3 linked regions of the Oryzias latipes genome follow. The protein of the gene in region 1 binds, or shares a complex with, the protein of each later gene. Links are inferred from orthologs where the notes say so. Each region holds a gene or a part of one and is shown on either strand. Other genes may lie near its edges.

The links.
Region 2: the proteins of wdr59 (region 1) and mios are in contact, whole or in part, in a cryo-EM structure (PDB 7UHY), measured with the Homo sapiens proteins. The link is inferred for Oryzias latipes from reciprocal best matches to the Homo sapiens genes WDR59 and MIOS. Residues at the interface, in NP_085058.3 of Homo sapiens: Tyr871, Arg876, Glu877, Arg879, Ala880, Glu881, Leu883, Lys884, Pro889, Pro890, His893, Lys894, Gly895, Ile896, Glu897, Phe898, Gly899, Val900, Tyr901, Arg906, Glu908, Val909, Arg910, Thr912, Phe922, Gln923, Ala925, Ile926, Cys927, His928; in NP_001357005.1 of Homo sapiens: Asp705, Trp710, His711, Arg713, Ala714, Ile718, Ser721, Lys728, Pro729, Leu730, Ala731, Gln732, Val733, Phe734, Val735, Ser736, Cys737, Asn738, Phe739, Ile744, Lys780, Pro781, Leu782, Pro783, Leu787, Cys788, Leu789, Gly793, Pro795, Gln819.
Region 3: the proteins of wdr59 (region 1) and seh1l are in contact, whole or in part, in a cryo-EM structure (PDB 7UHY), measured with the Homo sapiens proteins. The link is inferred for Oryzias latipes from reciprocal best matches to the Homo sapiens genes WDR59 and SEH1L. Residues at the interface, in NP_085058.3 of Homo sapiens: Pro713, Asp714, Glu716, Thr717, Pro718, Arg721, Arg837, Glu840, Gln843, His844, Asn847; in NP_112493.2 of Homo sapiens: Asn308, Tyr309, Met310, Asn312, Lys314.

The regions. Positions count from the first base shown.
Region 1 is NC_019861.2:37,932,259-37,936,008, reverse strand, and holds the start of wdr59 (GATOR complex protein WDR59), read left to right. Parts: upstream 1-1,484; 5' UTR 1,485-1,598; coding exon 1,599-1,652; intron 1,653-3,750. Other genes in the region: RNA-binding protein NOB1, read right to left, coding at 1-142, 529-661, 795-863. UniProt on the Homo sapiens protein: As a component of the GATOR2 complex, functions as an activator of the amino acid-sensing branch of the mTORC1 signaling pathway. The GATOR2 complex indirectly activates mTORC1 through the inhibition of the GATOR1 subcomplex.
Region 2 is NC_019874.2:30,589,704-30,592,895, forward strand, and holds part of mios (GATOR complex protein MIOS), read left to right. Parts: intron 1-1,011; coding exon 1,012-1,216; intron 1,217-2,049; coding exon 2,050-2,179; intron 2,180-3,192. UniProt on the Homo sapiens protein: As a component of the GATOR2 complex, functions as an activator of the amino acid-sensing branch of the mTORC1 signaling pathway. The GATOR2 complex indirectly activates mTORC1 through the inhibition of the GATOR1 subcomplex.
Region 3 is NC_019874.2:7,223,911-7,227,660, forward strand, and holds the start of seh1l (nucleoporin SEH1), read left to right. Parts: upstream 1-1,539; 5' UTR 1,540-1,653; coding exon 1,654-1,764; intron 1,765-1,877; coding exon 1,878-1,928; intron 1,929-2,011; coding exon 2,012-2,158; intron 2,159-2,245; coding exon 2,246-2,457; intron 2,458-2,688; coding exon 2,689-2,787; intron 2,788-2,855; coding exon 2,856-2,996; intron 2,997-3,103; coding exon 3,104-3,258; intron 3,259-3,750. UniProt on the Homo sapiens protein: Component of the Nup107-160 subcomplex of the nuclear pore complex (NPC). The Nup107-160 subcomplex is required for the assembly of a functional NPC.

The sequences.
Region 1 (3,750 bases):
ATGTTCACCTGCAGCAGCGGCTCCTCCCTCAGGTGCTCCGCCCCCTCGTGCTCCAGCTGCAGCTGGTAGGTCAGAGCCAGAACGCGGATGTCGGTGGCGGACAGACTCGGGTAGTCGCCGGTCTTCTTGGAGAACTCGGTCACTGGAGAACGTCAGACGGGAAAGAATCAACAAACCCAGCCAGCTCAGAAAATGTCCCCCAGCTGAGCAGCAGCCCAACAGCTGTCAATCTGCACCACTGACCAACGGAGCGGTCAGTGGGCGTGGTCAGAGAGGACACCAGAGGTCAGAGGTCATCTGCCTCCTTCATGGCAGATGACCTCTGATAAAATTTTTCATCATGGAGGTGAAAAAATTCAAAGCCTCAAAAATTTCACACTCAGCATTAATCTCCATGACAACGGTCGAAAGGGGCGGGGTCAGTGCCATGTTTTGGTGCGCGTGGTGCGTTCAGGTGCGGTCTGTGTAATGGTTACAGCTGAGTAAAGTGCCATGTTTTGGTGCGCGCGTGGTGCGTTCAGGTGTCACCGTGTCTGACGTGCTCCGGATGCGGCTCCCTGAAGTGCAGCTGGTACGGCAGCACAGCCAGGCTCCTCCGGGTCTCTTTGTCCCGGATCTCGTCCACCACATCCCGCAGCGTGTAGATGTTCGCTCCGATCTCCTGGATCACAGATCAGGGCCTCAGATCCGGACACGCCGATGCCCCCCCACCCCCCACACCCACATTCCGGTCTCGCGGCATCTCCCAAATACCTGCACACCCTCTCACCTGTCCGCGGATCACGTGTTCTCACCTGTAGAGGTGCTCTCTTCAGAAACGCACCGGCGTCAGCGACAACATGCTCCACCAGGGTCGGCGCCATCTTGGTAAACGAGCAGCCACATCAACGACCAATCACAGGGCAGACGGCTGTCACGTGCCTCGAGCTTTCAAGCGCACTGGGAAAGTGAGGTTGGCTTCCACGTGACCGGCTTTGATTACCATGGTGATGCCTTCACTGCCTCTTCGGAGAATTCAGTATTTAAAATCACCGAATTGTTTTGCAATTTCAAATATTGTTCAGCTTTGACGAAAAATTTTAAAATGTTTTTTCAAGTTAAACTGTATTTTTATTTAGAAATAAAAATGTTTTGCAGTTGTGGAAATGTGAAGATTTCCACAGATCTAAGCAAAAACAAAAGGAAATTTCAGGAATTTATTTCTGAGATTGTGTATAATTAGAACGTTAACATTATTCTAGATTGAAGTGAGAAAATTAAAAAAGGTTGATCAGGAAAAAGATTCCTCATCAAGTTTATTTATAGAGCAGTTTAACACAATTAAATCTAAATAAAACTCTGTACATTAAAAGCTTAACAAAATAAAGTCAAATTTAATAAATAAATGAATAAAAACATAAAAGCCAAAATGAACGAAAACATAAAGATTAATTGATTTAACCAAAAAATAAACATTTACTGTTTCAGGTTTTTCACGTGTTTATTAATCCATGCACATCTTTTTAGGGGGAATCCTTAAACCTGATATGCTTGTGTTGTTGGTTTTTTCTACATCCGGCTCCTTCGGGTCACGTGACATTTGTTGACAGGGAAGGAAGATGGCGGCGCGCTGGAGCAGCGAGAATGTGGTGGTGGAGTTCCGGGACGCTCAGGTGTCGCTTTGGTCTTTATCTGACGTTTCTTTGTTTTTCTCTGACTTTAGAACAGATTTGCTGACAATTTTGTCACATTTTATCCGTTTGTTAAAGTAGAAATACGTTTGTCACGTGGTCTGGACTGAACGGCAGGCGGTTTCTTTGAAGCCGCTTTTTTGTGTTTAGTAATTATTCTCTCCTCTACTGCTGGGGGGTATTCCAGAAAGCAGGTTATGCTAGCTCCCACGATAAGTTTGAGGCTAAGGAAGTTGATAACCTCAGCTTTTGGTTCCAGAAATGGAGGTATGTTTCAGGGTAGGTCAAGTTACCATGGCAACTCATGCTCTGAACGTAACCTGGTCTGGAGCAGGTTTAGTTGAAGGTTAGTTTGTTTTCAGAGAGGTGAAGCAGCATGGCGTGTCCATTTGAAGAGGATTTAGTGGATGAAGAAGCTCAGATAATACTTTTTCCACCATGAGAGGGTGATAAGACCACAAATGGATGTTGGAAAGATAAACTTTATACTTTGATCTAACTTCATTATTTGCTTCAGTTAAGATAAATCATTTTTTTTGTTAGAAATTTTTTTGTTAAAAATAACACGTAGTTTTCAGACAGTTATTTTCCTTTCGTTCAAATTAATTCAATTAAGTAGGTGTAACTTTGATGCTGCTGTTAGATCGGCACCGCAAGGGATTGTGGGAAATCATTCCCTTTGCCTGTCTGGACGGATTTGGGTTAAAGTGTGGCTTTTTGACCAAATGTTTTAGTTGTATAGCTGTTTTACTGTGTTTCTTCGTGTTTGGCCGAGCCAATTTGTCCTACTATGCTTACGTCTCTGCACCATGAGTGAGAGTGAAGGAGAGGATGATGAGTTTATTTAGCACCCCTACAGCTAAGTACTGTTATGACAGTGACGGGAAATTCTTTAGTGAGTTTTTGCACTCGGTGCATTTTTTTCCGTTTCTTTTTATTGTTATAAAAATGAGCATATCTGCCGGCTCAAACTTAGACATATGAAAGTTCAAGAAATATAAGTAATTAAGATGGAAAAAAGATTAATGGAGTAATGTGACATTTAGTTAGATAAATACGTAAATTTGAGTTGTATAAACAATTATTGAGTTTGAATAAATTTAACTAAATTATCTTTCAGCCGTGTTACTTTTTTGATGGACTTATAATTTCTATCCGCCGTCATTAAAATCTCAGACTCCGTCTCAAGTGTCGCGCTTTCTTTTTTTTTCTCCACGCGTTTCCATGGTGACTCCAGAAATCGGCGATCTATTGAGAATGTCTTTATGTACCGTGCGTTAACCCAGGGTTACCAAGTCGAGCGTAATTACGCCAACTCATATCCGGTCTTTTGGAACCGACATACCCAGAGTAAGCAAGTTCAGGCGGATTTCAGCCAGAGTTCAGGCTTAAAGTCAGGCTAGTTTAAACATGCTTCCTGGAATACCCCCCTGATCCCAGCAGCTGAGCTGTTCTTGATCCAAAACTTTAGTAGGAAAACACGTTTTCCAGACGATATCAGGAATAAACTAGTCAGCAGACGCTGTTCTTAACAAAATGAAGACCAAATTCTGAAAGTATTAGAGTGGATGGATCGATTCTCTGAAGCTTCTGGACGAAGCGGAAAACTGATGAAGTATTTACTACAGCCCATAAATATCCACACAGCTGTAAGATTGTTGTAAAAAGTCGAATATTAGGCTTTAGTTACTGCAGAGGAAACATGGACTATGTGTAAAGATGTGATAGAATGATGTCAGACAGCATTTGGCTGCAGAGATGTGACTGTTTGGGAGGAACTCTTGAAAGAAAGTAATAGAGTAACTCTTGAAAGAAAGTAATAGAGTAACTCTTGAAAGAAAGTAATAGAGTAACTCTTAAAATAAAGTAATAGAGTAACTCTTTAAAGTAAGTAATAGAGTAACTCTTAAAAGAAAGTAATAGAGTAACTCTTAAAAAAGTAATAGAGTAACTCTTAAAAAGTAATAGAGTAACTCTTAAAAAGTAATAGAGTAACTCTTAAAAGAAAGTAATAGAGTAACTCTTAAAAAAGTAATGAAGTAACTCGTAAAATAAAGTAATAGAGTAACTCATAAAATAA
Region 2 (3,192 bases), on another chromosome or scaffold:
TTATGGGATGGAGTCCTCCTTCTCTTCTTAATTACTTTTAAGGGTGTCAAACCACACACTCCATGATGTCGAAGCATTCGGATTCTTTTGCTTTTGGACTTTTAGAACAATTTTTTTCTTGCTTTTGAAGCATTTTTGTTTGTTCTAAAGCTACTTTTGTGTTCCGTATTCTTGCTTTCTTTCATTATCAGCATGTAGTTTAGCGTTTTCAGCATTTTAGAAAACACAAATAAACATGTAGGATGTGAAATTCACATCATTTATCTCTGTTCAGGTTTTCTTCAGCTACTTTTTTATTTCCAAATTCACTTTAACAAGATATCATTTTATTTTAGCAGAAGAATCCACTTTAGCTGTTCTTGAATAAGTTTTATGGCCTTATAAGGATTTTTAGAAATCTTTTCTGCTGGGTTACATTGTTTTGCATGGCATTGACCCTAATCATAGATTTATGTAAGTTTTTGTTTTTAACATTCACCTTTTGAAATAAAATAACTTCATCAGCATAGAAAGACAACATCTCTGTGCTTTTGTCTCTCGTGTTTCTAAGTAAAATTAAAAAAGTAAAAAGTTCAAGCTCCTCTCTTCAGGCATTTATCATTTTCACTAAAACTTCTGTTACTTGAGAGTTTTGCTCTTTTGCAAGTGTTGTCCACGTCGAATCTGCAGGAACGATAATGTTACAAACAGGTTTTGAGCAGTTGTTGTGTCATGCCTAAAACGACGATAAAACTGTTTGTCCAAACATGAAATGTGGTTCTGCAAGGCCTCACAAATTCAAGGACTTCTCCCCAGACTGTGAATACACTTGACTTCTGTTCATTTCTTAAGAAGACCAACATTTGTTCCACTTTTTATGCTTCATTAGCAGTATTTGCTGCTGTAAAAAGACTCATTCCAGAACTGTGTGTTGTGCTTGTTGCAGCTTAATCTGTGTCTTTAAACATGCAGACATCTGGTGAGCTTGTTTGGTTTGGATCTTATCAGCCGACCTTTGTTTGCTCCTGGCAGGTGTTCGTGAGCTGCAACTTCTGCGGGAAGTCCATCTCCTACAGCTGCTCCGCCTTGCCCCATCAAGGCCGGGGCTTCAGCCAGTACGGGGTCAGCGGCTCGCCCACCAAGTCCAAAGTCACCAGCTGCCCCGGGTGCAGGAAACCTCTGCCCCGCTGCGCCCTCTGCCTCATGAACATGGGCACGCCGGTTTCCAACTGTCCAGGTGGGGATGTGAAGCAGAGACGGGTGAAGGTACCAAAACTGTCACAGGACTGTAACCCAACAACGTAGCGTCGAGATCTGCTCGGTTGCTACATATTTTCATTTGACGTTTCCTTTCATAACCTGTAGTTCTTTTCCCTCATAAGTGTGTCCGACATTAGTATTTGTAGAGACATTTTTTGTTAGAATGAGCCGAGCCGAGCAGCCGGACTCGTAGCCATTCTTGCCTGCTGGAGCGAGCTGCCGCACTCAGGAGAACCGTGTCTCCCGGGAGATTTGTATCTCCAAGCAGAGGAGGCGGCTTTTAAATGAATAGTCCTGAGAAACCGTGCAAACAATCATGTGAATTTGTGTTTCCAGTCGGGTCCAGACAAAATAAAGGCTGGTGGTTATTCCAGTATAAGTTCATCCATAGCTAAATGTTGTTAGCACGCATGAACCTAATCCTAACCCTTCTGGCTCCATTCTGCCTATAATAAAGCACTGCCTGCACAGATTGAAAAAACTATAAGCGAAAATGCACTTAGTAATAATCATAACAATAATAAAAGCCTGTTTAGAAGATCATCTCGCTCTATGTCAGTGCTTTGTTTGTTTACGACAGTTGTACCGTAATTTGGCCGGATCAATCACTATCTTACACGTCATCGGACCAACGAACAGCCAATCAAATAGTGTGACATCATCACTTACTGCAGGCTGAACAGTTTTGGTACCTACACCGGCCCGCATCACCATAGCACCTCCTCTGCGTCTCTCTGTCATGCAGCTTTTCTGGAAAAGTCTCCTGATCCACCGTTACTCTGCAAACTAAAGCCTCGTTCTTCTCTTCAGGAGCCGGAAAGTCAGAAGAGAAAGCAGATTTGACGAGGGAGAACAAACTCGCCAAGTTCAACAACTGGTTCACCTGGTGTCACAACTGTCGGCACGGTGGCCACGCCGGCCACATGCTCAGCTGGTTCAGGTAGGAACGCCATGGGATCCAAACGCCGCTCCGCCATCTGCTCACGAAACGGTTGTGTTTGCTGGAGATAATGCTGCCGTCGCCTTGACTCCACGCGTTACACAAAGCTGGTACAACAACTGTAATCCTCATTCTGAGAGATTCACAGTCAGATCTTCCCTTTTCTACAGAAAACAGATGTGAAGCTCTATCCTCGAGTTTCATGGGTTTGTTAAAGTCAACAGGATTCTTCACCTTGTTGGTTGTGTAATGTGCATTAGATTAGATTAGATCAGATTCAATTCTTTATTGCCATCATATAAAACCCACTAAAATCAGCAACGATAATCTCTTTATCACAGGTACAACTCCACCAAGTTTTTCATTTTCATTAATTTTCTGTGACTAAAAATAATCTTTTCTGCCCCTTATTTAAGGTTCCTCTCTGATCATCTTCTGATCTGTTTTCAAAGCATCCCAGTGTCTTTTCATAAAAATTATGCCGTTTTTAGCCAAAATATAAAAACGTTTTCCAGGACATAGTTTCTGCAGAGCGGCAGGAGTTCATCTTGAAATTTGTTTTGAGTTGGGGGGGGGCAGGTCTTGGCTCGGAGAGCTCTCTGATTATGCGCTCTTCCACTAGCTTATAGTCCCTCAAACCCCCCCAAACATCTGGCTACAGCCAATTTAGCCGCCATTTTTTCATGAGACATAAGCTGCCATGCTTTGAACCAGTGATTTGTCTGAGTCGAGGTTTCTATGGAAACCCCTCTTGACACTCTGAGTTTGGTGGAAGGCCACACCCCTACTGCTTAAAAGCAGGCCACACGAAATCTGTCAAACGTTTTGAACGTCGAACGTGGGCGCCAACAAGCTCCGCCTACAGAATACATATTATCAAAAAAAAGATATCCGAGCAATATTGGCTATTTTGACCAAAAGAATTACTAAATTATAGGTGTTTATTTCTCCATAGGGATCTATGGGATTTTGGCTGATTGGAGCCACTTCCTGTTTGGAACGCCAGGGGGGAG
Region 3 (3,750 bases), on another chromosome or scaffold:
ACATTCTCAAAGCAAAAATGGCATCAGTGGTGCTCTTACGGGGCATGAAACCATACTGCTGCTCACAGATCTCCACCTTCTTCCTAAGCCTGGCTTCCACTACTCTTTCCCACAGCTTCATTGTGTGGCTCATCAACTTTATTCCTCTATAGTTGCTGCAGTTCTGCATGTCACCCTTGTTCTTAAAGATCGGGACCAGAACGCTTCTCCTCCATTCCTCAGGCATCTTCTCACTCTCTAGAATCCTATTGAACAACCTTGTTAGAAATTCCACTGCTGTCTCTCCTAGGCACTTCCATACCTCCACAGGTACGTCATCAGGACCAACGGCCTTTCCGCTCTTCATCCTTTTCAGAGCCTTCCTAACCTCATCCTTTCCAATCTCTGCTACTTCCTGCTCCACAACAACCACATCTTCCTCCCTTCTTTCCCTGTCATTTTCCTCGTTCATCAGCTCCTCAAAATACTCCTTCCATCTTTTCTGTACACTCTCTTGGGTTGTTAGCACCTTTCCATCTCTGTCCTTAATCACCCTTATCTGTTGCACGTCCTTCCCATCTCTGTCTCTCTGTCTGGCTAGCCTGTACAAGTCCTTCTCTCCTTCCTTTGTGTCTAACCTGTCATATAGCTCATCGTAAGATTTCTGTTTGGCCTTTGCCACCTCTCTCTTCACTCTACGCTGCGCTTCCTTGTACTCCTGTCTACCTTCCTCAGTCCTTTCTACATCCCACTTCCTTTTAGCCAACCTCTTCCTCTGGACGCATTCCTGTACTTCCTCATTCCACCACCAAGTCTCTTTACCGTCTTTCCTCTTTCCAGATGACACACCTAGCACCTTCCTACCTGTTTCCCTGATAATCTCTGCTGTAGTTTCCCAGTCCTCTGGAAGCTCATCCTGACCACCCAGGACCTGCCTCAACTTCTGCCTAAATTCCTCACAAGTTCCTAAATTCCTTTAAGACGTTTTGTTCCTGAAAGTATTTGGAGGAAAGCCTGGAGTGTGACCCACAAACTTATGATAAGTAATAAAATGAAAGAAGTTTCTCTTAAAATAATTCACAGAATTTACCCCACCAATCAATTCATGATAAGATACATTAAAACAATTGATCCTAATTGTCCTTATTGCAAAGAAACAATTAACCGCTTTTTTGGAATTTTACTGAGATTAGAAGTTTACAATTTATTGAAAAACAAATCCACCCCAACTTTACTCTGAAGTATGAATATATCATATTTGGTTTTCATAATAAAAACTTGGCCTCTAATAAAAAACTCATAATTAATCTTATTATTATTTTTGGCAAATTTTATATTCATAAACGTAAATTTCCTTCATCTTCTATTTTTTCCCCTTGTTAATCAAACAAATTGAAATGTATATCAGTAACATCTCCAAAAGTCTTAATCAGAAAGCTGTATGTTTATATGAAAGTTGTAGAAACCTGAATGTTTTTATGTAAAATGCATGTAATATGAATGCTCCCCTGGCATACCTGAAGTTTATTTTGTAAAATTGTGTTTTGTATTGTACTTCCGTTTTGTACAATAAAGTTAAACAAAAAAAGCAGGTCTCAAAGCTGGATGATTTCTGCGGTAGGCCTGCTAACGCGCTGGTGAAGCTATCGCTGGCGGCGCGCTGCTACCGGGATCATGTTTGTGGCTCGTAGTATCGCGGCGGATCACAAAGATCTAATTCACGATGTGTCGTACGACTTTCACGGCCGGAGAATGGCGACTTGCTCCAGTGACCAGAGTGTGAAGGTAAGCTAACGTTAGCCTCTGAGCTCGCGCCCGCGGTCCTCGACTGTGATGAACCGTTCCCGGGCTGCCGCGCGGCCATGTGTCACATTCAGAGCTCTGTTTGTTTTTCTGAGGTTTGGGACAAAAGCGAGAGTGGAGAGTGGCTCTGCACAGCCAGCTGGAAGGTAAAACGCCTCCATCCTCACGCCGAACTCCACCTTCTGTGCTGAACAGATGTGAGCCTCCTCCTCCTGGTTTCTCTCTGCAGACACACAGCGGCTCAGTGTGGAGAGTGACCTGGGCTCATCCAGAGTTCGGGCAGGTTTTGGCCTCCTGCTCCTTTGACCGAACCGCTGCGGTTTGGGAGGAGATTGTAGGAGAATCCAACGACAAGCAGAGAGGCTTGAGCCACTGGGTCAGTGCTGGGTTGGGAGCGGGCAGTTGCAGCGACAACCTGCAGCAGGTGGAGGTCATGTGAGTGTTTCTTGCTTCTCCATTCCAGATTAAGAGGACCACACTTGTGGACAGTAGGACATCAGTGACCGATGTGAAGTTTGCTCCTAAACACATGGGTCTGATGCTGACCACCTGCTCTGCGGACGGCGTGGTGAGGATCTACGAAGCTCCGGATGTGATGAACCTGAGCCAGTGGTCGCTGCAACACGAGATCTCATGCAAGCTCAGCTGCAGCTGCATTTCATGGAACCCCTCCAGGTTATATAGCTTTTTCATATTCTGGATGAGCTGACCAGACCATAAGTTTGATGGAGGTTCAGTTCTGCTCCATGTGTCTGTGAAGCTGGGCACAGAGTGTCATTCTAAGTTTCCACATGGCATTACACACAAACGAAGAGCACGTCTGCGCCACTGCCTGATGACAGGTCGGAGTGAAGGCAGGAGCGGCGGATTTCTGCTGAATCATCTCATCTCATCATTCTCTCCCAGCTCACGGGCTCACCCTTCCATGTTTGCCGTGGGCAGTGATGACAGCAACATCGCGAGCGGTGGGAAGGTTCAGATCTATGAGTACAACGAAAACACACGGTGAGCGTGTTCAGCACACAGCGGCCAGAGATGCAGCGGCCTCCTGACACTTCCTGTTTCTTCTAAAGGAAATACGGCAAAGTGGAGACTCTGATGACTGTCACCGACGCAGTCCACGACATCGCGTTCGCTCCCAACCTGGGGAGATCTTTCCATGTTCTCGCTATTGCAACAAAAGATGTCAGAATATTCAAGCTTGCCCCCATGAGGTGATTGTCATCATCATGTGTTCTGGTGCATTTCTCGAAGCACACAGCTTTTGAAATAAAAGGAGGAAGAAAATGAACAGAAAATGTGTCTTGGTTCTCTGGAACAGGAAGGAGAGCTCATCCACCGGACCCAGCAAGTTTGAGGTGCAGATTGTTGCGCAGTTCGACAATCACAACTCCCAGGTGTGGCGTGTGAGCTGGAACATCACAAGCACCCTGCTGGCTTCCTCTGGGGACGATGGCTGCGTGCGGTTATGGAAGGGTAAGAAGCTGGTCCACCTTCAGCAGGAACACAGACGGCTGCCGTCTGTCGGCAATCGTCTGCAGTGCAGCGACCGTTTTCTTATTTTCCTGAGATGGGTACATGATTAATAGAAACATGGCCTCCTCTGGAGGTTCAGTGTTGGACCTCTAATGCTGCGCTCACAAATTTGCGTTGGCCGCTTCAACTGGAACAAATGTCGGATTCGCTGCTGGCTACCTGTCCAAAAATAGGTTCATAATTGTGACGCATGTGGGAGGAGCTAATGTTTATTTGCCTCATGCGTCTTCTACATGAAAGCATTGACTGTATTTGTCGTTTACAATACATGGACGACACAGAAGTTGAGAGATCAAGTCAGTTTATTTTGAAGAGCTCTACTCTCGCTACCTGATGTGTCAACGCATGTGCGCAAAATACATAAAAGCATTTTACGGTCAGAGTATGTCTTTAAATATTAAATGATGATAAGCTCTTAAATGTTTCACAAAA